4 linked regions of the Notamacropus eugenii genome follow. The protein of the gene in region 1 interacts with the protein of each later gene in a pairwise test. Links are inferred from orthologs where the notes say so. Each region holds a gene or a part of one and is shown in the gene's direction. Other genes may lie near its edges. The genes, in order: CCNDBP1, PSMB10, AMPD2 and NANOS2.

Region 1 (7,615 bases):
ATAAATTTTACTTATCACACACAGGAATATTCACAAAAGCAAAAAAAACACCTCATCTATTACACAAGTGTACTAATCTCAAAACATGTCAGATTTTGAACTCACAAAGAGCTCGGCAAACATGGGGTGTTCTTGAAGAGAAACTATCTGTGTACAGGTCTCCCACCCTTCCTGTAGCACTGCCACCACGCAATTCTGTGTGTTCTGAGATTCCTCCTGGTCAAACAATCCTGCCCACCTCTACCCCCCCTCCTTGCTGGCCAAGAAAAACAACTTTGCCATGAGCACTGGGGCAAGGGAAAGGAGGATGAGCATTCATTGTGCATCTGCTATGTGCCAGGCACTATGCTGTGATCTTCACAAATATGTCATTTGATCCTTGCAACAACCCTTTGAGTTAGGTGGTATTATAATACCCATTTTATAGTTGAGGAAGCCAAGGCAGACAGAAGTTAAGTGACCTGCCCAGGGTCACATAGCTAGTTAAGTGCCTGAGGTAGGATCTGAACTCAGGTCTTCTGACAGTACACTTTAATTTTCTCTAAATTGCTTCCTTATCTAGGCCAGTAGCACTACCAATGAAAAGCAGTTGCTACATATTCACGATCTTTTTTTAAGGGAAAAAAAGTTAAGAAATAAAATTTACTGATATTTTAAAATTGAAAAGTTACAAAAGTTAAATTTTATTTGGAAATCTGTGGGATATAAGTTACATTGGGATAATAATGGTTGTGCTAAAAACCTGCACCTATCTATGATATATAATTATTTTTACTATTATTTAAAATAATATCTTATTACTATCTTTTGTTTTTTAAAAATTTTGGATGTATTCTACCATACAAGTACAAAATACACCTCTCTTATAACAAGGGGAAATAGTTGAGGCCAAAAAAAAAAACTAAACCCCAAAGGCCAAATACAAAAACTCAAACCCAGTACAGGGACTACCTCCAACAATGTATGCAAATTTTCTGTTCTTCCTTTAAAGTACTCCTGCAGAGGGAGGTATGTTTCACTATCTGTTCTCTGGGACTATTATTGACTTTTTAGTTACTCAAAGTTTGGCTTCCTTTTAGAAGCACTATTATTATTAAAGAAGTTATGCATCTATAAAGAAAGTCTTTGAAGATAAATACTCTCCAGGGAGGAAAGGATTCACCTCAGATAGGGAATGACTGGTTCCTTAGTCCCATTATCTCTTCCTCTTTTCTGTATTCTCTTTATGGGGCATATTGAACCAGAAAAGGCATTTTAGTGGTTCTTAGATAATAGGAGCCACTAGATATTTGAACCTTAAAGGTAATAATGAAGGTTGCTGAAGCAAACACCAACCAACACATAAAGCTTATACAGAAATATTATCCAGAAAGCAGACGGAACTCTTCCTCCTCTTAGTTTCTGTACTTTCCTTTTCCATGCCTAAGCTCATCCATTACCTAAGAATGAAGAGAAAATAAAAACATTTAGATGTACAAATGTTACCTTAATGTGACCCAGGGGACTGAGAGACCAAGGGGCATTACAGTGAAATGGAAAATTTAAGTCACAACGCTATTTGGAGATAGATGTGTGTACATGGGAAATATGTAAAGTAATTCATTACATTTTTACTCGTTAAAGTATTATTTCATTGAATGACATCAAAAACAAGCCTAGAAGTTCTCAGGCCTGAAGCTATCCTTGACCCTTTTTTCTTCCTCAGTTCACATAGCCAGTCAGTTGCTTTTCAGTCATATCTGACTCTTTGTGACCCCCATTTGGGGTTTTCTTTTTTTGTTGTTTGTTTGTTTATTAATTTTTAGTTTTCAACATTCATTTCCACATGATTTTGAGTTCCAAATTTTCTCTCAATCTCTTCCCTCCCCCCACCTCAAATGCTATGCATTCTGATTACCCCTTCCCCCAGTCTGCCCTCCCTTTTATCATCCCCCTTCCTGTCGACTTTCCAGCTGGTCTTGGTCTGGAGATTTGTTTTTCTCTGTCATTTTGTGGGTTCCAAAGCTCTAGAATTTGTTTAAAGTCATTTTTTTTAAAACAGGTATTTGGAGGGCTTTGTAGGAATAGTTCAAGCAAGTCCCTGCTTTTACTCCGCCATCTTGGCTTCATCCCTCCATCTGGGGTTTTCTTGGCAAAGATACTGGAGTAGTTTGCCATTTCCTTTTCCAGCTCATTTGACAGATAAGGAAACTGAGGCAAACAAGTCTAAGTGACTTGTCACACAGCTAATAAGTGTCTGAGCCCAGATTTGACCGCAGGAAGATGAGTCTTCCTGAATCCATGCCTGGTGCCACTGTACCACCTAGTTGCCCCAATCAGTTAAATCTTATTTCATAAATCCATCTATTTCTGTCTACTCATACAATCTGTACCCATATTACCTCTTAGACTAGTAAAAGTAGTCTCTAATTATTCTTCCTGCCTCATTCCACCCCACCCCCATCTCTTCTACAATCCAACCTCTACATACAGCTGCCATATTGATATTCATAGAACAGATTAGATCATATTTTCCTGCCTCCCTCTAGTTAATAAAGTCTTCATCTTTAGCCTGGCATTTAAAATCCTCCACAATCTGACTCCCACCTTTTTTCCATCTTATTTCATATTTCATATTACTCCCCTTAAGTATTTTCTGTTCTGGTGAAATTGGCCTTCTATACCAGAGGTGGGAAACCAGTGGCCTTGAGGCCAGATTCTGTTTTCAAAGGTCCGCACTCGAGGACCTAGAGGGCCACATGTGGCTTTGAGGCCACAGGTTCCCTACTCCTGCTACACATAACATTCTATCTCCTAACTGAGCTCTTGCATAACTTATAATAGCTGACATTTTCATAGTAAATGGCATCTATCCTCTCATTTGACCCTCATAACAACCTTGCGTGAGAGGTTCTGTTTACTATCCACATTTTACAAATGAGAAAACTAGAGCTAAGAGGGGTTAAGTGGATTGCTCAGGGTCCGAAATGGTGCCTATCTGAGGAGGGATTTAAACCCTTGGGGTCCACCACTACCTTCAAGGCCACGTGGCCTGGCCTCCCTTTCACCTCCACCTTGTACAGTCCCTACCTGCCTCCCTGGTGCCCTCTCCTAAATGAGGTCTCTCCCCTTGGCAAACTCCTGGAGGGCAAGAATGCTGCCTCCCTATGCATGTCCAACCTGGCATGGTGCCGGGCACGTGGTGGGCACGTAACCTCTCAGTCCCAGGGCACGTTCCCTGCTGCTGTCAGAATGAAGATCCTGCGGGTTTGGTTGCCTTGGTGAGAATTCAGATGATGAACGTGTGATGATGAAAACAGAATTTGGTGTGAAAGGATTTTCTAGTTCACAGAGAAAAGCAGTTTTCTTATTGGCGAAGTGACCAACCCTGATCCTCTCTGCTGACGGAGCGCTCGGGCCTGGTGAGTGTCTGGGCCGGCACCAGGCCTGCGGCACGTGCGGGGCAGCCCGTCCAGTCCTCGGTGACACTCCCGGGAGATAAGCCGGACTCTGCCCGGGGCCGTTCGCCAGACCGCTGGTAATCCTTGTTTCCTTTTCCAGATCTTTACAGTGATCATACCCCTCTCCGCCTACCTGTGCTGGACGCTGCTGCTGCGCTGCCAGGGCCACACCTTCTCCACTCACCTGCGGGGCAGATACCTCAAGGCCGTGCCCGGCCACGCGCTCGCGGGGCTCTTCTACCTCTGCCACCTGGGCTGCTGCGTCCTGCTCTGGAAGGCCTACGGCACCACGGCGCTCGTCTTCTCCCCCACGTACGGCTGGCTGGCGCTGCTGGCCCCCATCCTCGTTCGTCTGGCCTGGACCCTGAGCCCCAGGGAGCTCAGAGCCTTCGCCGTGGAGCTGCGAAGCCACCAGGGCCCCGACAGGCAGTGACCCAAAGGCCGCCGCGAGCGGCCGAGCGTGGGCCTGCCCGGCCGCGGCCCTCCGGAGGCCGACCGGGCGGCGGGTCCCGCTGCGGCTGGGGCGGCCGGCGGGCTGGTTCCCTCAGAGCGAGTCTCCAAACGTGGCCCCGATTAATGCTGTGCTTGCTGATTCTGCTGCTTACCCCATGGAAGCAAAGCCATGAACTGAACTGTGGAATGGAAATGCCGCACCGGGAGGGCGCCTTCCGGGGGAGGCCGGGAGCGGGATCGGGGGTGCGGGGCTCGGACCCGAGGCCCTTCCGGCCGCGTCGGGCCCACCCCGGCGCCCGCCCCACGTGGCTTGTAGATGGTTTAATTGAACTTCCGGTTTTCTAGGCTCTCCGCCTCCACTGGAGGGACTGTTTAAAACTAATCAAATAAATGAATAAGCTGTTTGCGGTCCAGAGCTCTATCTCGGTCGAGGGGCGGAGACAAGGGGGAGGGAGAACACCCATTGGTCACCGGGCACCTCAGACACGCCCACCGTCCGGTAGCGGGAGGCGGAGCCGGCTCCTCAGTCTGTTGCCGGAAGCGGGCAGAGAGCGCCGGAAGTTGAGGTCTAGGGCTTCCGTTCCGGAAGTTGCAGGCGGTTTACGGGAGCGCCGACTGAGCGGCTGCTGGTGCTGTGAAGCTCGGCGCGATGGATCTCGGGGCGGCGGGACCGAGCCCGGAGGAGCCCGTGGCGCAGCTGCGGAGGCTCATCGGGGTGCTGCGCTCCTTACTGCCGCGGGTGCGGGGTGAGGGCCTGGGCTGCGGCGGGAGGGGCCCGGGGCGGGGGCCGGGGCCGGGGCCGGAGTCCGGGCCCCTTCTTTCCCTTCTCTCACGAGCCGCCCCGTCCCTCCGCAGACGGCGAGGCCCGGAAGACCGCGGAGGCGTTCGATGCGCACAGATTTTGGGACCAGCTCGGTGAGTGAGGCCCGCCTCTGGCGTTTGGGAGGGTCCGCAGCTCCCTCCTGGGCGCCGGGACACCGCGGCCCGGGAGACGGGAGGGCAACCGGAGCCGGGGGCGGCGGCCCGGGAGGGTGGGGATATGGGCCGCGGCCCAGCCCGGACCCGTGCCCCTTCTCGGCGCCCGCCGCCGCCTCCCCCATCGAGCCTTTCCTCCCCCAGGCCAGAGGGCCTTGGCCGTGTCCCAGGAAGCCACGAAGCTGAGCCTGGCCTTCGCGAGACCGCCCCTGCCTTCCCCCGAGGTGGGTTTGCCCCGGGCCCGTGGGCCGCCCCTTTTCTCTTCCCCTGCTTTTGTCTAGAACCAAAGGCAGCTGAGCCCCCAGGTTTCTACCGAGCCAGGTACCCCAGGTGGGGTAAGGTTATCCGCAAGCTTCCCCTGCTGTTCGTTTCCATGAAAGGAAGTCTGTGCATAGACTGTAGTCTATAAGTATGTATGTATGCATATACATATACACACGTACACATGGACACACACATCAAGATTCGATATATCTGTTTTTTTCCACTTTCACCTCACCTGCAGTGATGAACTTGTCCAAGTCTGCCCCTTTCATGCCAGCAGTAAGTTGAAATGATGGATAGGAAAGTGCCTGAGTTCCCTGGATAAAAAGCAGACCATAAATACAGGATAATGATAGTGGGGTTTTTCCCCCCAAAAATTTCCTCTTTCTAAAATTTTTATAGCGTACTTGGAAAATCCTAGAGACATCATGAATTAACAGTGTAACATCATTTTATGTAGATATCTATATAGCAAATATGGATATTCATTTCAGTGTTTTTCTTCACTCCAGGGTGAAAAGTAAAAGTAGGATTTAGTTTCCAGTCGATTTTAATGCTACGTCTCCATATAGTTTACAGTGTTATGTGTGCGTGCCTGTTCTCTAATCATAATTTGTTTGGATGTATAAGCTTCTAGAAGTCTGGAACGTTTTTAACTTAAATCCCTTTATTTATAGGAACTTAACAAAATAGACTCGAAAATTGTGTTCTGAAATCACAACGTGTTAAGCATATGGGGAAGAGGAGAAAGAAATGTGTTTTAGTCTGATATTTTTTTATTGCTTAATATGAACTGAGTGCTAAAGTGAAAGAATTATAGCACTGAATTAATTTTGTGCGTATAGAATTAAGAGCAGGAGATCACTGAAAGACTCACTGTAGGAAAATAGACGTGAGGAGTATTAGATCTCTTCTAGTAACCCTCTGGTTTAAGTTGGGATTCCCCAAAAGTAGGCTGTCCAAAATTTTGGTGTGTGTGATTCAGAGTAGGTTCTCAGCATCCTGAAACAGTGTTAACTCTTTCTCTTTCATACAATAGATATTTTGTTGACTGGGGTGTATGGGTGTTCAGTATCCAAACCCTGGATAGTATTGAGTAGGTGATCAGTAAATGCTTGATAGATAATGATGAAGTTCTCTAGGGCAGTTGCTTTTCATCATGTCACTCTTAATTTCCTCATTTTGGAATGGATCTGTGTTTTTTGTAGGACTGCAGGAAACTCTGTGAAAGTATCCAGAATGCTGTGTTGGCAGAGGTTTCTACATACTACTGGCTTCCCAAAGATCAAGGTAACCTGCTTTGCACACGTAGATACTTAAGTATTCAAGATATAATTTTTGAATGAGTGAGTGAAAGCTCTAGCAGGATTCTTGTGCCGGATCTCTTTTGGGCAGAACACTATTACCTTTCTAGTCAGAAAACTACAAATTAATGGGATTGATGAGCAGTAGGAAGGACAAGGCAGGTCATTTGTGAAGTGTAGGTACTGCCTGCTACCCTGCAGCGTATAGACTATCTGCTCAAAGAAAACGATTTCTCCCTGAAAGACCTCTAGGATGCTTAAAATTTGGCTTTGGTTGCAGGCATCACATTACGAAAAATGGTTCGAGATACCATTGTGGATGTAGTGGAGGGGATGGCCCAGCTTGCAGAGGTGATCGTCAGAGCTCGACCTCAATGGTAATGACCTAGTTCTAGTTGTTACTTTGTGGGACTCATAGTGCCTGGGAAGGAAGGAAAACCCCTGTGAATTTTCTTTTGGGCATCAGGATGGGTCAGTCAGGAAGGATACTTTTTAGGAGATAGGGATTTGAGTTGTTGATATCCTCATTGTTTTTGCTCTTTAGCATATCACACGAGTATCTAATATCAACTGGCAGTATCTGGGAAACATGTGACCAGGTGTCTCACCTCCCAAAAGGTGAGTGAGGTAGTGGGAGGTGTGGTGATGATTGTATTCAGCTATATGAGAGGGAATGGGTGCTTTTCACATCTCACTTCCAGTTTTGTAGCATTCATAATGTAATCCAGATTTAACAAGTAAGAGACTTTTAAAAAATTAGCTGTCACTGCTGAAAGTTAGAAAAAGGAGATTTGATGTTACTGTCTTCTCAATTATTATTCCTTTCTCAATGCCCCAAATTACCCTCTCCCTTCTGTGCAAATTCCATTAGGGAATTTTAATATTTGTTGAATATTTGGGGTACATGTACCTAGTTTTACTCATAGTGTTAGGAACACTGCTGAAATAGTCATTAGATAGAGCCAGGTGTTTCTGATGGGACACTCTTGGAATAAGTGATTTCCAAATGGACCCTGATTTAAGCATTTTAGTTCTTCTTGGGACTTTATTTTTATACTGAAAAGGGAGGGTATCAGTGGAAAACGTTTTACGTTCAAACTCCATAAAACCTTTTGTTAAATACTTCTCTGTACAAAGCCCTCTGCTCAGTGGGGGTGGAAGCAAGATATAAAGATTACA
Region 2 (7,750 bases), on another chromosome or scaffold:
CGCCAGGTGTGGAGGTCTATTGTCTGTATGGTGTGGGGCTGCCAACACCCTACACCTACATCTATGACGAAGGTTTCCCTTACAATGACCCTGTGTCCGTTCTCTATGAAGATGGGGATGACACTGTGGCCACCCGTAGCATGGAGCTCTGCGCTCGCTGGCGTGACCAGCAATCCCAGCCAGTCCACGTATTTCCAGTCCCAGGCCTAGAGCATCTCAACATGGTCTTCAACAACCAGACATTGGACTATATCAACTCCATCCTGTTGGGTACCTATCGAACAAAAGCTCCCAACAACTCCCACCCAGACTCCACCCCCTCCAATGACTCCCATCCAGACCCTGCCCCCTCCAAGGACTCCCGCTTGGCTTCGACCCCCAGAAACAGAAAAGGTCACAGACCACAGATGAGGGGCCAGTAGTCTGCTCCAGATAGCCAGAAGGGCAGATGGCACCACATCCCTCCAAAGCTTGGCTCTGCTCCTGACTTTGGGCCCCTTCTGCCACAGACCCTGCCTGGGGTTGAGAGACATCAGATGACATGAATAAAAACCTCTTCTTTGAAGGCCAGCTCTGGAGTGACTAGGGAGGAAAAAGAGTCTGACTCTGAAAGTGGGAGGAGGAGAACGATAATAAACATTTATTAAGCATGTATTGTGTGCAGAGCACTGTGATAGGCAACGGGGGATGAGGAAGAGAGAGAAGGTTTAGGTGGGAAAGGATTCCTGTGGTTTTTATAGTCATATAGGAAGATAAGACAGGTATATCTATGAAACAATATTACATGATAAGTGTATTGACATATGTAAAACTAAGTGATATCCAGCTTCTAACCTCACCACATGATTGGAAATGCATGCTATAAAAGTTGTCACAATGTTCAATGTCAAGATCTAATGTTTTCTTTTTTTGTAGCCCTCATCCTTCATCAGTTTTCTGCAGCCTTCTACACTGAAGCCCTCCATCCCTGTGATTCTGAACCACCAATTTCATAAGAATAAACCTCCACAACCTCAATTATCTGCACCCTCATTCCCATCCTCACTCAGAACTACCAAAACCTAAACATTGACCAAGTGAGGCTTGAGCTGGGACCTTTTGTTGTCAGTCAGTGAGAGCCAGAGTGATTTGGGTTTAAGGCACAGTCATGTAGCTCCATTTGAATCCCGATAGACTTTATCAAAGCCTGGTTTTCTAGTGCTGTATTTTAAGAAATCTGAAACTACACAGATGAAACTACATGGGGCAAAAGAATTAATTGTCCCAGTTTTGGTTTTCCTCTCCCAGATTGATTTTTTTGTTTGTTTGTTTGAGTAGGTAAAAGAGGCCATTCTTTGCCTCATTTCTTACCTAGCCTTAATCACTGAATGGGTGTTGCCTCAGACAAACTGAGACCTGGGAAAGACTGGAGCTTAAAAGGGCCAAGGCCTCACAGTGCATCCAGGGCCATCTTCAGTTATCCTGATCTATATCTGGCCACTGGACTCAGAGGGCTCCAGAGGAGAAAGTGAGGCTGGTAACTTTGCACAGCCCTGCCTCACTTAAATCCAATTCACTTGCATGTCCTGGCATCACTTTCCTGATGTCATTGGTCCTCTTCAAGAATGAAGGAAAAACAACAGTCTCATTCACTTCAACTCTCCCCTCCCAGTGTCCTATTCTAGAGCTGCTTGCCCTTTCCATCATGCTCTCTATGGAATTTTTGTCCATGATTCACAAACTTCCTTTCATCTTAAACTTTTTCTCTTGCCATCTTCTAGCTCTCCCTGAGACCTGACTCCTTCTGTATGTCCCTGCATCTCTGACCACCTTTTCAGTACTGATTTCACTCTCTCTCTTACCCCCAGACTCACTGGTCATGGTAAAGAATCAAAATATTCCTTGCTCCCAAATGCCACTTCCAGATTTTCTATCACAATCACTCAAGGAACCTCTTCATCCTTGAAGTTTGTTCAATCAAAATGTATTACCCAATCAAGATTCTGGTAGCCATTATCTATCAATCCCCAAGACATTCTCCCTCCTTTCTAAATGAGTTCAGTACCTGGTTCATGGCCTCCCTGCTTTATTTCTAGGACACTTCATCATACATTTTTAAAATTCAATTTCATTTTATTTTCAGTTCTGAATTCTCTCTCCCACTCTCTCATTCATTGAGAAACCAAGAAAAATAAAACTCATTACAAATGTACATAATCATGCAAAACTAATTCTTGCATTAACTATGTCCAAGATTTTAAAAAGGAAGGAAAAGAACATATGTTTCCATCTGCATTCAGAGTCCACCAGCTCTCAGACTGGAAGTGGATAGCATGTTTAATCATGAGTCCTTTGGTATCATGGTTGATCAGTTACTAAGCCTTTCACAGTTTACGTTCTTTACACTAGTGCTGTTACTGTGTAAATTGTTCTGGTTCTCATTTCATTTTTTAAAGTAATTATATATTTTTCAAAATACAACACCTATTCTTATTAAAAATAATAGAAAGCATAGGAATAAATGGAGTCTTTTTTGCAATAATAAGTACCTATCTAAAATGAAAAGCAAGCATTATCTGTAATGGGGATAAGCTAGAAGTCTTTCTGATGAGATCAGGGGTAAGGCAAGGATGTCCCCAGGAATGAATATAATTCAATATTGTATCAGAATTACTAGCTATAGCTACCAAATAAGAAAAGGAAATGGAAGGACTAAAAACAGACAATGAGGAAATAAAGCTGTAACTCCTTGCAGATGATCATGACGCTATATTTAGAGAATCAACTAAAAAACTAGTTGAAACAATTAACAACTTTAGCAAAGTTGCAGAATATAAAATAAACCCACATAAATTATTAGCATGTCTATATGTTATTAATAAAACCAAGCAGAAGGAGACAGAACAATGCCACTTAGAATAACTATAGACACTGTAGTTATACTTGGGAGCCTACCTGCCAATACAGCGTTGTACATGAGCACAATTACAAAACACTTTTTACACAAATGAAGACAAATATAAACAATTAGAAAATATTCATTGTTTATGGGTGGATTGACCCAATATAATAAAAATGACAATTCTACCTAAATTAATTTACCTATCCAGTGCCAAGCCAAACTACCAAAGAATTGTTGTATAGAGCAAGGAAAAACAGTAACTAAATTAATCAGGAAGAACAAAAGGTAAGAATAACCAGGGCATCAGTGAAAAAAATGTGAAGGATGGGGGCCTAGCAGTACCAGATTCAAACTGTACTACAAAGTGGTTTTCATATTGGAGGTGGGGGCAGTTTTCTTCACAGGTTGGAAGCTGTAGGGACTCCCATTAGCCATTTAAGAGATCTCACCTTCTCTGGAATTCGCCTTGATCTTCTGAGTTTCCCCTGCCAAGTCATGTCTCCCTGATGTATGCCACACTACAGCGTCATCCTTCAGGAAACCACACGAGCCTACTTTGGGCAGGGGTGTCACAAAGGTAATGGTTCTTCTAAAACTGAATAAGCAACGGTTGTCTGATCTATCAGTTAACCTGGGAGAAAGAGGTTTCCATTAAGTGGTGCCACAGGAAGCCAGACCACAAAGGGGCAAAGTCAGCTAGTAAAGGCAACAAGTATAGACATCTTTTTCTAGCACTTAGCTGAGACAGGTGGATGAGAGTTAGGCCAGTGGTTTGAGGGGATAATAAAGCTAAGTAAAGGTTTTTTTCTCAAGCTAGTGGAGATGTGGGCATGTCCATAGTGGTGTGGGGGAAGTCAGTAATAAAGAGAGAGTGAAGATGAGAGTGAGAGAAGAGGGAGAGGAGGGGAGGAGGCAGGGAGAGAGAGGCAGAGAGGCAGAGGGAGAGGGAGAGAGAGAGAGAGATGGAAAGAGAGAGGGACGGGGAGAGAGAGAGAGAGAGGGACAGGGAGAGAGAGAGAGAAAGGGAGAGAGAGAGGGAGAGGGAGAGGGAGAGATGGAGAGAGGGGTAAGCCACTTTTCCTTAGTGATTTTTACTCTCTCAAGTGGTTTGAGGACATAGAAGATCAGTCAGGTGTCACAGTGGACAGGCACTGGACTAGGCTTCAGGAAGACCTGAGTTCAAATGTCCCCTTGGATAACAGCTGTGTGACTCTAGGCAAGTCTTTTAACTTCAGTTTCCTCCCCTATAAATGGGAATAATAATGGCACCTACCTCTCCTTGTAAACCTTAAAATTATATATATACACACACACACACACACACACACACACACACACACCCATACCCATACCTATGTATATATGTGTGTACACATGTACATATATATGGATATACGCAAGTTATTTTAATTATCACCAGGATGGATCCGAAGGAAGCATCCCAGTTTGAACAATCTGAGACCACTGATCTCCCCAGTGACGTCTCCTGAGGAGGATGTAACTAACAGTCACTGACTGTGCTCTCTGTCCCTGTGGGAACATACACTGTTTCCATCCTGACTCCTAGATTCAGCTTCATTGTACTTAGGACCAATATCAATGCTTGATGGAGAAGGGGGCAGAGAAGGGGAAGGGGAATGAACATTTGGACAGGATAAGAATCTTAGACCGTCTGAGGCAGAAGGGACCTCAGAGATCAGTTTTAACCCCTCATTTTCAGATAAGGAGAGAGGCAAGATTAGTTCTCCTAAGGCCACCCTGTGAGTCATTAGCATAACCAATGAAGGGCAGAGCTACCTCCCAGGGTCACCAATCGCAGCAGGGGCTCCTCTGTCCCCTCTCTCGAAAAGTCCTCAGTAATGGTGGCAGGGGTAAATAGGAAGCAGGGAGCGCCTGTGTTTACTGTTTCTTCACTAGGGATGGAATGTGGGGAAAGGGAAAGGGTGGGGAGGGGAGGATGCCCCAGAAGAGCTCAGGCAGCCTCCCTGCTTCCCACCTTCCTCCACCCCCCTACCCCAATCCCCGCCCCTCCTCCTGCAGTAGCTAAGGTGAAAGTGAAAGCTGAAGTTACAAGAAAAGGAAGCGTCCAAATCAGCCACACAAAGTCCCCTCGAGGTCCTGCAGGAGCCCCCACCCCAGCACCTCCCTGCCCCCTCCTGACCTCCCCAGCCTGTCTAGCCTCTTTGGCACACCTGCGGAGTGCCTCACGTCCACCCAGCTCAGACCATGCTGCACTCTGCCTGTGAGCCCCAGGGGGGCTTCTCCTTCGAAAACTGCCAGAGGTAAGAGGAAGCCCGGCTGACACGAGGGGCCTGGCCCAGGATTGGGGAGCGGAGAGGTTAGGCTGTCCCTGATCCCCCTCTCTGAAGACTTTGAAGTTCTGGGAATGGAAAAGAAAAGTGAAACTAGCTAAATGGGGGAGGGGATGGGGGAACTCTTGAGGGGCCTGATGAAATTCGTAGATGAAAGGTCTGGGAGCAGAGGGAAGGAGGAAAGCCATGAAGAATCCTAAACTGGACAGAAAGGGCATATGTTCAAGGAGCTAGAAAGACCCCTCTGGTGTGGTTCCTGGCTCCAGAGTGTCTTTTCTTCCTTTTCCCACACCCCAGAAATGCATTTCTGGAATCTTCCCTAAAAGGACTCCATGTTCCCCATGCCCGTAAAACTGGTACCACCATCGCTGGCCTCGTGTTTCAGGTGAGGGGGCGGGGGGAGATGGGTCGGGAATGAGAGGGACAGATCAGCTGGTGGGGGGCGGTGGGTGAGGGGATTGATTTTGGGGGAAGTGTAGAGATGGGGCTAGTAGGGTACTGAGGTCTGGAACTAAGCCCTGACCTCTCTTCTAGGAGGGAGTCATCCTTGGGTCAGACACCCGGGCCACCGACGATTCGGTTGTGGTCGATAAGAACTGTGAAAAAATCCACTTCATCGCCCCCAACATCTAGTGAGTCACCTTTCCTATCTCACCTCCCTGCCCAACATCTCCCCCATATATCCCCAGCTACCTCCTCCTTAGTACACAGGAATTAGAGCTGGAGGGAGCCATCATTAGGCCAACCCTCTTATTCTACTCAGGAAACTGAGTGCACAGGGGAGGAAATGAGCTATTGGCAGAACTGATTAAAAAACAAACAAACAAATAAACAAGACCTCTGGTTCCAAACTCAATGCTTTCTCCATAATTCCTACTAGTTGACCTTTTGCTCCAGCCTTCACCCCCCAGACCACCCCAACCCTAGTCTAGCTTGACCCTCTCCTCTACAAGTCTCTTTCTCTAATGCTGACTCTCCCCTCAGCTGCTGTGGGGCAGGAGTGGCAGCAGATGCAGAGATGACCACACAGATAATGGCGTCCAACATGGAACTACATGCTTTGTCCACCGGCCGGAAACCACGGGTGGCCACTGTCTCACGAATGCTCCGCCAGATGCTCTTCCGGTGCAGTGGGAGCTGGGGAGGGGAGGTTAAAAAGAATTTGAGAGATCTGGGAAGGAGGCAGATGGAGTGCATCCTTGGGATGGGGACAAGAAGATAAATGGGGTGGGAGGCAAGAGCTGGAGGGAGATGGGGCTGGCTTGGGGACCCTGGGCGTGGAGAGAGGAAATGATGAGATTTCTCCCTACAGCTACCAGGGCCATATTGGGGCCTCCCTCATTGTAGGGGGAGTGGATATCACAGGCCCCCATCTCTACAGCGTACATCCCCATGGCTCTTACAGCCATCTCCTTTTCACTGCTATGGGTGAGTCCCTGACCCCTAATCAGACAGACGTCCTCCCACCCCCAGACTCACAGAGTCACAGGATGTTGGTTAGAAAACACCCAGAGGCCACCTAGTCCATATCCTGATTTTATAGTGAGAAAACTGAGGCTCAGAGACCTTGGGAAATTGGCCCAAGGTCACATAAAAAGTAAAAAGAAAAGTCAAGACAAATCCAGGGCCTCCAACTTCAACTCTTCACTTTTCTTCCTTAGACAGGACACCAATGATTGTTGGGAAGGGTTTCTTTCCATTCATTCTAAATCTGCTCCAATGTAACTTCCATGGCTAGGTAGCACAATGAAGACAGTCATTAGACTTGGAGTCAGGAATCCTTGTCTCACTAGTTGGGTGACCTAGGCAAGTGACTTGCCCAGCCTCACCTGGCCTTGGTTTCCTCATCTATAGAGATGGGTTAATTAATAGCACCTTATTTCACAGGGTTAATGTGAGGATCCAAGTGAGATACTGCGTGCTTTCTGAACTTTAGTGCTACATAAATACTAGCTATTATTAATAATTAATATTATTACTAATTATTAATAGCCCAGACCTCTGAGACCAAATGTCCCCAAGGATATTCACCCACTCCACCCTTCACCCCCCTTCCAATAAATAGCCCTCCCAGTCCTGTGTGTATGTGGCAGCAGGAGATGTGTCTTAAGGAATTGTGGAAAGGGGAGAAAGCTGAGGGAGGTTGCCTAGGACCTAACAATGCTCACTACTGCTGTCCTCCCTCACCTTCCAAAAGGCTCTGGACAGGGACCGGCCATTTCTGTGCTAGAGGATCGCTTCAAACCAAATATGACGGTGAGAGCCCCCTTCCCCCATCCTGCCCCTGACCCACCTTTCTCGTCCTCCCCCCATCTCAGCTTCTTCCTGTCTTCTCATTCCTCTCTACCCATCGTTGTGCTGAAACCAGCTTCCTTTCCGGTGGGGAACAGTTTGGTGCCATCTGCACTATGTGTGCAGAATGGTTTTCTTATTGCAAGCCCATCAAAGACAAGTCCCTGGGCCTGGCTGAGAACCTGGGGGCTGCGCTGAGCTCAGGACCCCGTCTACCGCCTCCCCTTTTCTGTAAATGAGCTGAGAGGTAGACTCCTCCTCGGCC
Region 3 (7,237 bases), on another chromosome or scaffold:
TTCTACTATTCAGCCTGAAACCCAGGCTTGGGAGCTTGTAGAACCCAGATGAGGTGGACAGTCCAGAACTTTGCCCTGGACTAGACCACTTTGGAAACTCTGAAAGTTTGCAGGTCCCCGGTCTGTTCCTGAGATCCTGGAATAATAACACTCAATACCACAAAAAAGAAGCAACAAGACCAGCCAAGACCTTCCCTCCAGAAGTCTCAGGGAGGGAGTGGGGAGGGAGGGGGGAAATAGAGGGAGGGAGGGGAAAAAAATCTAATCTCAGGGTATTTACATACAGGAGTATATCCATAGGAAAGTGGCCACATCTACAAGCAAGGCCAAGGGAAAACTCAGCTTGGGCACAAACTTAAACCAGAATTCTTAGAAGGAATGAAAGGAATTTAAAAAGAAAAATGAAAAAATGTTTTTATAAATGAAATGAGAGTGCTTGAGGAAAAAATTAGAAAAGACATGAGAACTATGAGAAATGGAAGGGGAACAGGAATACACTGGGAGGGAGAAGGGAAAGGAAAGTTATCTCATATAGTTAAGGTGCACAAGTAAACATTTATACAAAAAAGGTTGGATAGACCAGGTGAAGGACTCAAGGTGCAGAATGAGATAAATTTTGTTTTTGGATATGGCTAATATGGACATTTATTTTGATTGACTCTATGTGTTTGTAATGGGGCTCATTTTTCTTTAGTTATTAAGTTGGGTTAGGTGCTGATTAATATATATATATGTGAAATTTTTAAAAAGGATGCTGTCTACCTCTAGAGAAACAACTGGTAAATAGAATATGTATAGAATGACTGATGGTAGCTAAGGGGAAGGGAAGAAAATGGAAAAAAAAGAAAAAGAGTTACATGACAACTTTATTAACTATTTAAAAGAAATAGTAAGTTGTATGTGATAGGTTTGCTGTTTCATGTACAACCTTCTTTTCATATTCTACTATGCTTGTTTTACTTCTTGGTTCAGAATAAAATAAAATTAAATTTAAAAAACAAGTTAATATAATAATGAGGACTTGAACCCAACCCTCCTGATTCACTACCCAGTGCTCTTGCCCCAGTGCCACCCTGCCCTGATGAGTTCCCAAATTAAGCACTGCTTACTTTAAGGCAGATGTGGGGACCCTGGAGCCCATGGCTATAAAAATTTGTCCTAAAGAGAAATTGAGCTAAGGGTAGGATTAGGGACAGAATTTGAGGGAATGGATGTTTGTTGAAAGTAACAACACACAGTTGGCCAGAACCTGAACAACTGTCAGTAGGGGCAGGTGAGAAGAGGGTGGAGTTAAAATCGATCTGGAAACAAATTAGTAACCCAACTGTGTTTGGGGGTGGGGGGAGGGTATTGCAAAGGTCTATGGTTGCTACAGAAACTGAAAAAGAGTGGTTTTTGTTAGTAGCAGTTATCATTACTGCCAGTGATAAGTGCGTCTAAAATTACAGGGTCACTGAGTCCATTTGTTCATTCCACAAAGGAAATTAATAGTGTGACATGGAAACCCAAAAAACTAATGCTTTTAGCTCCAAGGATGTTCTCAATCACCTAGGCTGTGAACAGAACAAGAGGTAATGGTTGTTTTGCAGAATGTGTGACCCTAGAGGAGTCAACAACCTTTCAGTGCACTCTCTAAGACTGTATGTAAGTTGTCCAGAAAGTGCTGACCTTGCATTGTAGAAGGTGTTTCCTCATCTGGAAGTTTCCTATAACCAATAAAGTAAGTCTAGACCCTATCTTATGCCTTTCCTGATCAGGCCATATTCAGAGTACTGTAGGAACTGAACATCCCACTAGGATGATGAGGGACCTTCAGTTCATGAAGGATCAATCTAAGGAACCGGGAATGTTTAACTTGGAGACAAGACCTTAGTATTAGGTAGACAGCTAATAGACATGATGTCAATCTTCAAGTATTTGAAAGGCTGGCTTGGCACTAATACACAGAATGAGGGGCCAAGTGAGATCTTCTAACAATTACAGATATAAAATACTGGAATGGGTACTTATGGAGGTATAATGGGTTTCCTTTCATGGAGAGTTTCAAGTAGAAGCCTGCCTCCTTCAAACAGAAGTGGGTAATCATTTAGAATGTTGTAGAAAGGATTCTTGTTGCATTATGGATCTGACTGTGGATTCTGAGGTCCGTTCCAACTCTTGGATTCAGTTATTCGGTGAAAAATTCAATGAATGCCTACTATGCATGTTTGGGGGATGTATGGGGTATTCCAGGAGGCCTGACAGCATCTCTGGGGTGAGGATTTGCTGAGTCCTTTTCAGGGGTGCTTATCTACCTTTTGGGTCTACCTGGTTCATACACTTCTCACCAGTTGCTCCAAGAAGCTGTAGCTTGCACAGTAGTCATACCCTGGTACACTGACTTGGCAGAAGGGCTAAACAAGGTTGAAGCTAACTGACAGACCTCAAAGGTACTGGAGTTAGCGGGATGGTGAAGATCCCCCTGCAGAATGAGGACAATGTTTCAACAGCTAGGAAGGTGGCTGAAGCAGCTCCTGTGGAGCAGTTAGAACGTGGTCAGCCCTCAAAGACTCCAGGGTCAGCCACGTTACCAGTCTTCTTGACTTTTGTCCTACCACTGGAGTAAGGCTGAGGACTTGGTTTAACTCTGCCTGCTCTCTATCCAGTTCACACACAGGTCAAGGTATCACCTCTCCAAAACAGAAGGACAAACAGCCACTATGCGCTCATCTGTGTGGTTTATTTAGAAGTCTGATAATCACTTCATCTGAATCCTCCCTGCAGCATCTTGGACAAATGACCTTTTTACTTAAAAAAAACCCTTTATTTATTTTCCCCCAATAGTATTTTATTTTTTCCTTACATGTAAAGATAGTTTTCATAGCTGTGTGACCTTGGGCAAGTCCCTTAACTCCGACTGCCTTGACTTCCCCCTCCCAAAAAACAATTCACTTTACAAGATTTTGAGTGGCAAGTTTTTTCTCCCTCTCCCCCCCTCCCTTCCCCAAGATGGCAAGCAACCTGGTGTAGGCTGTACATGTGTACCACCCTATCAGACATACTGCCGTATTCTCCACAAAGAGGAGAAAGAAGAGAACAGTCCGCTCCCACCCGCACTCACACCCGAGTCCTTTCCCTGGAAGACCGTGGGACTTCTACCTGACCCCGCCCAGGGCCCGGAAGTCTGCGCTGACAAGACGGCTGGGGTGGCGGCAGGACTGGCAAAACTGGCACCAGCCTCTGCCCCGGACCCTTCCCCAGCCGCAAAGGGGGCGTGCTGGGGGCTTCTGCTCCCCGGGGGGCGGCTCCGCTCATCCTCGCGGGCGGCCGGACCTGGGCGTGTCTAGGGAAGGCCCGGCTCGGGAGCGCGGGCCTCCGGGCCTCCGGGCCTCTGGCGGGGGGTGCCCGGCCCGCGCTTGCAGCCGGACGTGGCTCGGCACATCATCGGTCCTCCCCCTCCTTTCACTGAGGCTGGGGACGGACTCCCGAGAGTATCCCCCGAGAGCCGGCCCCGCCCGCTCCGGGTCCGAGAGCAGCCCACGTGACCCTAGTCCAGAGGGAGGCGGGCTGGGGCGGGGGCCGGAGCCGGGGCAGCTTTGGGGCTTTTTCGTTTTTGTTTTTGGCGGTTCTCCGCTTCTGCCCCGCCCCCAGCCCGGGTCGGAGTCCGCGGGCGGCGGAGGGAAAAGTCCGGTTCTCGGCCAGTTCCGGGGTAGGCCCAGGTCCCCAGCTCCGCGGGCAGCACGTGCTCCGCCCGCCCCCGCGATCCCCCGCTGTGGGCCCCGACCCCCGGGCAGCTCCTCCTCCCGCCTTCCCCGCCGGCATGGCAGCAGGTGAGTGTGGTAACGGCGGGGCCGGCGCGTGGGCCCGGGGTTAGCCCGGTTGGGTCCTGCCCCTGCCTCCCGCCGCCCCTGCCTCCTGCCTCTGCCCTCCGGGGGGGAGGGGGCGGGGGTGAGCTTGGGGCCGCCGCGCTCGCATCCCGCCTCCGCGCTTAGGTGGGACCCCGGGCCCCCCTCCATCGTGGAAGGGCGACCCAGGAAGCTCGCGGTCTTACGGGACTAACAAACACAAAGCATCTCAAAGGAAATAATTTTGGGGGTAATTTTTATTAAATTTAATTTTTGAAATATCGTTACCAACATTTTTTAAGAACCCAGAGTTCCCCGACACCGGGTTGTGAGGTTCGTGCAGCCGCAGCCTCGGGAGGAGGGGGCTGGCTCGGTTCCCAGGGCCGGGGGAGGGGGCGTCCCCTTCCCCCACGTGGTGAGCTCCAGGTCCGGGCGGGGAGGAGCCGGACTAGTGAAGGAGGCGGTGGTGGGGGGCTCCGGGCCCGAAGCACCGAGGGGCACTCAGCCCAGGCCGCCTCCCCTCCTCCGGGAAACCGAGCTGCATGAGGTGCCCCCCGCCCCCGGTCCTTCCCCGACGGGGCAGATGTCCCAGAATCCTCCTCCCCCACCCCCAAGGAAAACAAAATGAAAGTGAAACCCACCCACCCAAGGAAGGGCCCAGCTCCGGACGGACTTGTGCCCACGTGGCCAGGCATCGGCCCTCTGGTTACCCGCAGTGAGAACCGGCCCAGCCTCGCCGGGGAAGATCCGCGGATCCGACCCGACTGCGGCGAAGGGACCGAGTTCTAAGCACGTGGCCGAGGTCGGGGGGCTCCGGATGGCCCTGGCTTCCCCAGCTCCCCCCCCAGCCTCCCTCCTCTCCTTTTCCTCCCCCGGCTAGACGTCAGTTGCGCCATCCCAGGGGCTTGGGTCTGGGAGGGAGGGGGGCGCGCTGGCAGGGCGCTCTCGGGTTGCCTTGGCAACCGTAGAAATCCTGGCCTGGGCCTCTTCCGCCGCCGGGCCGGGCTGGGCTTAGCTTCCTGCCTCAGTCACTCCCCGTCGGGGGCGGGCGGAGGAGAGGAGAGGCGGGGCGGAGGAAGGGCTTGGATGTGGCGGAGCCGGGTCCCGTCTGCCAGCCGAGGCCACAGCCATGGCATCCTCCCCGGCGTCACCAGGGAAGCCCAAGGCCAAATACCCCTTTAAGAAGCGGGCCAGTCTGCAGGTAGCCAATGCCCCAGGTGAGTCTGGGGCCCCCAGGCCAGCCCCCGGCTCCTGGCCAGATACGCGGCTGGCCCACCCCACAGGGGGCATTCCCAGTGCCCAGTGGCGAGGGGGTGATGAGGGTGGGGGCCAAGGTGGTTCCGGGACAGTGGGAGGCCTTTAGAGAGCTATCCCTGGAGAAGGGAGAGGGACTTTTTTGTTTGCTGGTGCTGTGTTTGGTTCTGAACCCTGTCCTGCCGAGGAACCTTTCTTTGCACCGGTATTTACGTGTAGGAAGAACATCCTGGGATTTGTGCGTGTACACACGTGCATCTGTCTGGTTGTGGAAGTGTCCCAAACAGCGTGGAGTGTGTGAATGAATGGGATGTGCCCGTGTATTTGAGCTGCAAGGGCTTGCCACACTGGGAGGTGGTGAGGCCCTTGTGCTTTTTCTTCCTCATAGCCTACCTTTCCGTGAACCCCTGTGTCCCCCAGCTTCCATTCTGGATTCCAAGGGGACTGGAGGAGGATGTGTTGGTTGCATGTCCATCTGTTTTTAACTGTTCTGTCTCGGGGCGTGCCTGTAACGATGTCTCTGTGCTCATGGGCTTGATGACCCTTGGAACATCTGCCTGTGACCCTGGAAGAATGTTCCTGTATGTGAGGGTGGGATCAGTCACCCCTGAGGGTTCCCCTGAGTCTGTGAACATACATGTGTGAACATACATGTGTGTACATGTGAGCATGCTGGCTTTCAGCAGACAGCCTTTTTCTATCTTCTCTTGTTCCTGTTCCTGCCCCGGCAGGCACATTGCACCATTCAGGGAAGGTGACCAAGGGATTCCTGTGTCTGTGGCATTGCCGAGAGGTTCCTGGCTGGCCTCCCACTTTGGTGCCCACATTGCTGCATATAGTGGATACGTTTACTTATATTCACAAGTTTGCTGAGGATCCCCCTGTCCCCAACAAAGAGCTGCTTGCTCTTATCCCATGGTTGAATGTACTATCTTCAGGAATGTCCTGGTCCATATAATTGATGGTCATCATGGTGTTGACTGAGGGCCCTGCACCCCAAAGGGTGCTTTGAGGTGTTGAGGCCCAGCAGGAATGCTCAGATTGATGTCCTTGCCGTGGATGCGCTGACCCTCAGGGATCCTCTGCCAGGAATGACCTACCTCTAGGGATGCTCAGGACTGCACCACCATTGGGGTTATCTGGCTCCCTGGGGTGGGGGGCTTACATCTGCTCAGCCAGGAGGGGATGCTGCCTATGTTTGAGCCCCCACAGGTCACTAGGTTTGTGCCAACTCTGTGTGGTAGTAGGGTACAGCTTTTTCCCCACCCTGATATCTTTGGGAAACTCAGGTATAGACCTGTCAGCTTGCTGAGTTGGTAAGAAGTACAAAGCCTTGGGAAGAGGCCTGGTCAGGAAACCGACCTGAAGGGCAGACGGCTGTTGGGGGCTCCATCTTGCTGGGTCAAGAGGTGTGTCCAAGGAAGTCTTTTGCAGTGGCTTGGTTTCAGATCCAACCAGATTTTATCTGACTTAATTTCTCAGTGGAGAGAAGAGGCTGCCTGTGAGGTTTAAATAGGCAGGGTTGCCTAATTAATAGCAAACTCTCAGGATAGGGGCCAGGATTTCTGGAGACAGCTGGGTGTCCCAGAAGGCCAGGGTTGCTGTTTGCCTGTGGTACAGCTTGTATTCTATACAATCTCTTCTCCTTATTTTTTTTTTTCACCCTGGGGAAGAAACTTCAATAGCTCACGTAGACTCTCAGATTGCCAATTTGCATTCATTAGTAGTTACCATTTATAGTGCTTTACAAATAAGCTGTTTTATACCCACAACAGTTGCTATTATCACCCCCACTTTACGGATGGGGAAATGGAGGCAGGCTAAGTGATTTGCCCAGGGTCACATAGCTAGTAAGTCTCAGAGGTCGGATTTGAACTGGAGCGTTCCCGCCTCCAGGCCCAGCTCCCTACCTACTGTGCCACCTGACCGCCTTGAGGTTCTGGCAGACACTTGTTCAGATGGCTTCAGAGGTAATTCTTGTTCAAAGACAGGTTAGGCTGGATGACATTTAGTCTTCCCACTCTTGAGATTACGTGATTCTGTGAGTCATAGAGCGACTTCATGGAGTCCTGGATGGAGTGTAGGGCTTGGAGACGGAAGGGCCTGAATGGAAATCTGGCTTCAGGACAGATTAGCTGTGGGTGCCCAAGTAAGTCTGT
Region 4 (6,568 bases), on another chromosome or scaffold:
TCTCTCCGGGGCTGGGACCCCCTCTGATTCCCAAATGTTTGTTTCCTCGGGCGTGAAGAGCTTTCGAGTGGGAGGGGGAGAGAGACGGGGATGGAGAGGCGTCTAACGTGGGTCGGGTCCTAACTGGGAAAGCCAGCGGGAGATACAGGTCCGGAGATAAGGAGGCGGGGGTCCGAGAGAGGAGGGGCTATCCAAGGGATTAGCCCTAGAGAAGAGGGAAGCCCAGGTTGGAAGAGTAGGAGTAGGGGCGGGGCCCATGAGGTACAGGTTTGGTTCTCCCGCCAGGCATTCGAGGATCAAGGATGGGGGCTATGGGATTCGAATTGGGAGAAGCCGGGTCCCTCAGGTCTCCTGAGGCGAGGCCCATTTTGACTGAGCCAGGAGCAAGAACTGGGGGCGGGGGCCGGGACGGAGGCGGGGGGCCGGCTTGGGGCAGTAGGTGGGAGCGGTAACTGTTAACCAGGCCTGGGACAGGAAGATCCCAAATGTAGCTAGCAGGTCCACCCCTACCCCAATTCCAATAAATATCCACTGGCCTCAATCCCGCCAGCTCCAGTCACAGAGCACTCAGCACAGAAGCCAGCAATGGCCAGTGTTACTGCACTCTCTTCCCTTCTTCTAGTTCTAACCTTTAGTCTCCTTTCTGTTTCTCCATCCTTCCAACCTTCATCCCTGTCGTTCAGTTTCTTAGTGAGGTGGAAGGAGCTCTAAACTGAATAGGAGTTCTGTCTGTCTCCCTGTGTAACCTTGGGTCACCCTCTCTCCCTCTTTCAGCTTGAGTTTCCCCCTCTTGTCAAGGGGAGGGGTTTCCTGCCTCACCTCCCTTAGAGGCCTGATGAGACTAGATGGACAGGTGTGTGTATGGGGCGGGGGTGGAAGGGGGGAGGAGTACTGAACTTCCGCTGTCCAAATAGAATGTTTTTATCTGAGAAGGGGGGTTAAGGGAGGCCGAAAATGAAGGCCGAAAGTGAGCCTAGAAACTGGATGTGGATCTTTGGCCTGAAGTCAAAGATTTTCGGGTTCAGATACCGTGAGAGTGTTAGAGCCGGTGTTATGGGGCTTAGGTCAGAGAATGTGGTGTGGATGTCAGAGTCCAACTGGCCCCTTCATTTTACTGATGGCCAAACTGAAATCCAGAAGAGGGGTGCCTGTGGGGGAAGAAGGGGCGGGAGGGATGCCAGTGTATGGTAGTCTAAGGGGGAGAAGGGGGAGCAGTCCCCTTGAAAACTCATGAATGCAAGGGCGGCATAGAGCTAGACCTGGTTTTGTCTCCCTCAGCTTTAACCCTTCCAGAGAAAAATTTTCCCAGTTTCTCTCACTTCTTTTTCTGCCCCTCCGCCTGTGTGTGTGGTTTTTTTTCCTCTTTGTCCTCATTTGAGGGTCATAGAATTTAAACCATCAGGTCGTCCAATTCCTCTAGGACTCTTATTTCCATCTCTAGTTCTGTCCCTATGTCTATTTCTCCATATTTTTTCCATTAATCTAAACCTCTCTCCATCTAGTTCAATCCAATTATCATGAATTAAGTTTAAGGCAATGAGGAGAGAGCCAAAATAAGTAGTTCTTGTTTCAAGTAGCTTACATTTTTTCCCATCTCCATTATCTGCCTTTCCATCTCTGTCTTCCTCCATCAACTTCTTTCCATTTATAACTTTTTTTCTCTTGTTTTGCTCTGTCTTTTTCTATATCTCTGTAACCTCATCTTTCAAACTAGTACCTCTGGTGTAAGGACTTGCTGAGGCTGGTCATTTGCCTTTGGTGTACACCTGTCACCCAACTCTCCCCTGTGACTCCAAGAAGCTGTAGCATATGCAGTGACCCACACCCATACAACCCTCTCAACAGATGAGCTAAACCAGAGTGAGGGTAACCTAGGGATCTCAAACCCATCAGTAAGTTAGGGGAATGACTACCCCAAGTAGGTGAACACTTCCCCTGGTAGAATTGCAAACAGTTTGTTCCAACAACCACAAAAGAGGAGGAAGCAGGCACTTAGAACTAGGTCAGGCATCAAAGATGCCAAGGTTGTCCACTGCATCTAGAATCACCGCCATCCTGACTTTTGTCCTGCCACTGAACTTGATGACTCAGGAAGACAGGTCGACGACTTTGTGCAGCTCTGTGTCACTTAAATCCAATTCATGCACCAGTCAAGACATCACCCCGTGATGTCACTGGTCCTCTTCAAAAGATAAAGGACAAACATCTTCCAAACTACTGTGTCTCTTTTCTCTTCCCCTCTAAGACCACAGATTTAAAACTAGAGAGAACCTTAGACACCATCTCAACAAAATCCTTAATTTTACCAAAAAAAAAAAAAAAGCCTAGATTTGTCTTTTAATCTGTGTATCTATCACCTTCCATCCCTTTCTCTGTCTTCGTATCTTTTTTTTTTTACTGTCTTCATTTTTCTCTGAATTTCTCACCTTCTGTACTTTGGTCCTTTTGTCATATAAACCTAAACCTGTTAGGTTTTCCTGTCTCTTCCTCTGTATTGGCTTGATCTTCTCTCTGTCTCTCTGTCTCTGTCTCTCTGTCTCTGTCTCTCTCTGTCTCTCTCTGTCTCTGTCTCTCTCTCTCTCTCTCTCTCTCTCTCTGTTTCCACACCTATCTTTCTATTCTGACCTGTTTCCTCTCCAGACTTTTTTCTGACTTGTTCTTTTTCTTTCCTCCCTGTTTGCTCTCAGGGCTTCACACCAACAATCTTTGAAGATGGGGGTGTTTTCCCCTTTCTTGGTGCTAAGCTTAGTGCTTGTGGACTGGCTGACGAACTTTTCTTCCAGGTAAAACCCAGAGTTGGGTCATTGAGTAGAGCTGAGTATCGCCTGTAATGGGGCCTGAAGTATCAGAACCAGGGCACTTGGAGCCCAAGACTGATCCCCAACATGGGCTGAAACCCAGTATTTCTGTCTTGGAGCACACTATGCCAATAATGATCCCATCTCCTGGGCTCCCCAGCTTGCCCAAGCAGAGATTCACTGATCTAGGGCTGTCGAGCTGAAGAGAAAGGCAAGGAGATGGAGATGGGAGACTGAGAGGCAGCCTCTTTCTTGCCTGACACCAAAGAAGACTGAAACTGACATAGATGGGAAGAACCCAAAAGGGAGGGGGAAACCCAGAGAGGCACCCCCAACCCTTCTATCATGACTGCTTCTGATTGGCTTAGGGAGGGAGTCAGGTTCAAGTAAACAAAGCTAGTAAATTTCTCATCAATTTCATCTTGTTTTCTTCTCCAAAGGTGTGTTTATGCGAAGAGCAAAAGGGATGAGGAGGGGGAGTCCCTAGGCTCATCCTGTGCCTGCATCCTTCCCTAGTAGGAAAGCGGGGAGGGGAGGACAGTGAAACCTGCCACACAATTTTTTCTAATTCTCACCATGACTTCCCACCCGCCTATAATGAAAGGAAATCCCACAATCATAGACAAAAAGATTAGAATCAGACTCAGGGGACAGAAAAACAGTAGCACTCATAAAACAACATAATTAGCAGAATCATTGCTGTGTGGCTTTAGGACAGAACTTGTACCTCTCTGGCTCTGTTTTCCCCTTCTTGTAAAATAAGTCAGAGTGGAAGATCTCTGGTTTTGCCTTTCATTACATGGGCAAATCCCACCCAGTAAGAGCCCTGGCTACTCCTTCTGTGACTCTGGACAAGCCCTTTCTCTCCCTTTGGGACTCCTCTCCCTCCAGCTCTGGTATTCAGTGTTATGAGGACCCTTATCATAGTGCTATTCCAGTAGACTGGAATTCCAAAAGATTGAGTTTAGTATAACCCTATGATGTCACAGGAAAGAAATCCCAAGCCCAGAGAGGGCAAGTGATTTGCCCAAGGTCACACAGCAAACTGGTTGTGCACCAGGAACTGAAACTCAGGCTCTCTCCCTCTCACCAGGTGTTCCCTTGCTGGGTCTCAGTGGGGGGTAGGGGTGGGGGCAGAGGAAGAGAGTGGGCCCTTTAAATTGAAAGCTCCTCCTTTGCCTTTGGAGGTCTCCAGCCACCCTATAAAAGGCACCCCCCTACCCTGCTTCCAACTCCACACTGCTCCAGACAGCAACGACCCTCCTGCCCCCACCCCTCTACCCCCTCAACAGTCTGCTGGCCACATCAGGCACCCATGCAGCTGCCGGCCCCTTTTGATATGTGGAAAGACTATTTGAATCTGAACAAGATCCTATGGGAGATAATCTCGGACCAAGGGGGTTCTGGGGGTGGGGAGAGGTCCAGCCAGGAGGTGGAGGCTGGGCAGGTGAGGCAGGAGGCAGCTGGGGGCCCAGGGGCTCCTATATCTCTCTGCAACTTCTGCAAACACAACGGGGAGTCCCGCCATGTGTACACCTCTCACCTGCTGAAGACTCCAGAGGGTGTGGTTGTCTGTCCCATCCTTCGCCATTACGTCTGCCCACTGTGTGGAGCCACTGGGGGCCTGGCCCACACCCTCAAGTACTGCCCTCTCAATGGTGGCCAGCAGTCCCTGTACCGACGGAGTGGACGAAACTCAGCCGGAAGAAAGGTCAAGCGGTGAGGAAAGATCTGGGCCTCCTCTTCTGGACCCTTCCAGGACCACCCCTCCAGGACTTCCCTGGGCCTTGCCCCATCCCAGCAATTTCTCTCTCCCTGGGGCTGGTTCTCCCAACCTCAGGGAATGCTCAGCTCCTGACACCTCCCAACTCCAAGTTGACCTTATCCCAGGGATATCTCAGCCCCTGGACATTCCCAATTCCCTGGGGGCTGGTCCCCTCTTCTCTCTCCAAGACCTTCCCTTAGACTCATCCTACCTTAGGGAGTTCTGAGTCCCTGAAACCCTGCCCCCATTCCCAGTTCAGTATGTCCTGGAGAATCTGCAGTCCTGGAACTCCCCCATTCCTGGATGACCCTGATCACCGGCCCCCTTGTCACACCCAACTAATCCCACACCCAGGATTTCTCAGTTCCTGGAATCCTCTACTCCCACTTTGTCTTAGCCCTGGGAAACCCTCCCCTCTGGATCTCCCCAACCCTTTCCCACTATCCCTGCTAACCCCCAAATTCCCTAGACATTAAGGAATCCTGAGGAGCCACAGACCTCTCAGCGTGAAGCATCCATGAGACCGAGACTGTACCAGCTTCTGTCTCCACCTGCCTGCACAGCCTGCCTTCGACATTTCCTTTGGCTACTGTCTCCGCCTTGAATGAAGACCCTCTCTACAGACCTCAGCACCCCAGCACTCAGCACATGCCCTTGAAGATTACCAGATGATGCCTCTCCTGTTGGGGCCCTTGCATAACACTTCTGAGTCTCAGGGGGTGACCAGCTCCTGGAGATGATGTTGGGGGGTCCCCAAATGCCTGGGTGTGCTCACTGCTGTCTCCCCACACACACACACCCTGGTCTAGCTCCAGAAGAATAGCTTGGCATAGGACTGGGGCTGGGGGATTGTAGGGGGGAAGAGAAAGACTTTCTTATATTGTTCTCGTGCATCTTTTTCTATATACAGTTGTTGGCTCCTGCAGCCCTACCTGCCTCCCTACCTGGGCCCCAGAGCACTCAGTGGGCAGTTCTGTCCCCCCACCCTGAAAAGCCCCCTCATTACCCAAGGGGAAAGTGGACTAGCTCTCTACAGTTTTCTGAAGCCTAGAAGGAGGAAGGCCTGATCAATGTAACTGGGGTGGGAATGAGAGGGGCTGCTGAGGATTGGAAGTTCTTCAATAATGTTTTTTAGGGGATGGAGGGAAGAAGCCAAAATAAGCAGATTTTATGTTGTTGATTTTTGTTCAGAGCTGGAATAAATGACCAGAATTCTTGAAATTTCTTCTCATTGTGTTTTTCTGGAAGGGTTAAGGAGAAAGTAAAACCATCTTCCCCTAGAACCAGGGTCACCCCAAGTCACACCAATCTGTCCTCCCTCTTCAGTGACTTTTGCCTTCCCCCTCCCCCAAATCCCTGTCTCCTCATCTTGGGTCTTCATTTGTCCACACTCAGCACAGGCTCCCAGGCCCCAGACTTCCTTCTCTACAATCAAGCTTGGACCCCATCCCTCAGGGACCTTGCCTGACTCCCTGAATCTCAGACTTGAAAGGCCCCCGTGGTAACTGGCTCATGTGTCTCTGGTAAAGAATTCCCACTCCAATATATCAGATGGTCACCAAGCTTTTACTTGGGGACTTCAGGGAGGGGCTGCCCATCTAGCTCTGGTTAAATATGAATATTAGGGGGGGTATTTATGACCACTAAACCAAAATATGCCTCGCTGCAATGAGTTTGCCGTTCTTGGGGAGGAATGAGGCAGAGTGAGCCTTTGTTGGTTATGTTGCAGTACAGTTCTTCTAGGGGAAAAGTTCTCCAACTTTTGGGACTTACCACCCTTTCACATTCTTAAAAATTATCGAGGGTCCCTCCTGAAGAGCCTTTGATTCTGACGGTTATATCTACAAATGGTGACTGTATTACAAACTAAGATGTCTTAGTATTACTGCGAAAATAGTTTTGAACTCATGGATCCCTTAAAGGAATCTCAGCAGAACTCCAGGACTCCCCAGACCACACTCTGAGAACTACTGCTTTTGGGCATCACCTTGGAAGGGTATCACTA

What was found.
Region 2: the proteins of CCNDBP1 (region 1) and PSMB10 interact in binary tests that used the Homo sapiens proteins (3 or more experiments, as listed by UniProt). The two-hybrid records come from large-scale screens. The link is inferred for Notamacropus eugenii from reciprocal best matches to the Homo sapiens genes CCNDBP1 and PSMB10.
Region 3: the proteins of CCNDBP1 (region 1) and AMPD2 interact in binary tests that used the Homo sapiens proteins (3 or more experiments, as listed by UniProt). The two-hybrid records come from large-scale screens. The link is inferred for Notamacropus eugenii from reciprocal best matches to the Homo sapiens genes CCNDBP1 and AMPD2.
Region 4: the proteins of CCNDBP1 (region 1) and NANOS2 interact in binary tests that used the Homo sapiens proteins (3 or more experiments, as listed by UniProt). The two-hybrid records come from large-scale screens. The link is inferred for Notamacropus eugenii from reciprocal best matches to the Homo sapiens genes CCNDBP1 and NANOS2.

Annotation. Positions count from the first base shown.
Region 1 is NC_092878.1:29,700,230-29,707,844, forward strand, and holds the start of CCNDBP1 (cyclin-D1-binding protein 1), read left to right. Parts: upstream 1-4,283; coding exon 4,284-4,632; coding exon of another isoform or gene 4,633-4,639; intron 4,640-4,748; coding exon 4,749-4,808; intron 4,809-5,012; coding exon 5,013-5,092; intron 5,093-6,340; coding exon 6,341-6,422; intron 6,423-6,716; coding exon 6,717-6,813; intron 6,814-6,980; coding exon 6,981-7,054; intron 7,055-7,615. Other genes in the region: TMEM62 (transmembrane protein 62), read left to right, coding at 3,541-3,873. UniProt on the Homo sapiens protein: May negatively regulate cell cycle progression. May act at least in part via inhibition of the cyclin-D1/CDK4 complex, thereby preventing phosphorylation of RB1 and blocking E2F-dependent transcription.
Region 2 is NC_092872.1:696,332,959-696,340,708, reverse strand, and holds the start of PSMB10 (proteasome subunit beta type-10), read left to right. Parts: upstream 1-4,725; 5' UTR 4,726-5,107; coding exon 5,108-5,163; intron 5,164-5,490; coding exon 5,491-5,578; intron 5,579-5,727; coding exon 5,728-5,825; intron 5,826-6,177; coding exon 6,178-6,318; intron 6,319-6,505; coding exon 6,506-6,621; intron 6,622-7,390; coding exon 7,391-7,449; intron 7,450-7,750. Other genes in the region: LCAT (phosphatidylcholine-sterol acyltransferase), read left to right, coding at 1-422. UniProt on the Homo sapiens protein: The proteasome is a multicatalytic proteinase complex which is characterized by its ability to cleave peptides with Arg, Phe, Tyr, Leu, and Glu adjacent to the leaving group at neutral or slightly basic pH.
Region 3 is NC_092873.1:287,838,263-287,845,499, forward strand, and holds the start of AMPD2 (AMP deaminase 2), read left to right. Parts: upstream 1-3,852; 5' UTR 3,853-4,953; coding exon 4,954-5,041; intron 5,042-7,237. UniProt on the Homo sapiens protein: AMP deaminase plays a critical role in energy metabolism. Catalyzes the deamination of AMP to IMP and plays an important role in the purine nucleotide cycle.
Region 4 is NC_092876.1:27,901,412-27,907,979, reverse strand, and holds NANOS2 (nanos homolog 2), read left to right. Parts: upstream 1-4,037; 5' UTR 4,038-4,113; coding exon 4,114-4,517; intron 4,518-5,032; coding exon 5,033-5,039; 3' UTR 5,040-5,784; downstream 5,785-6,568. UniProt on the Homo sapiens protein: Plays a key role in the sexual differentiation of germ cells by promoting the male fate but suppressing the female fate. Represses the female fate pathways by suppressing meiosis, which in turn results in the promotion of the male fate.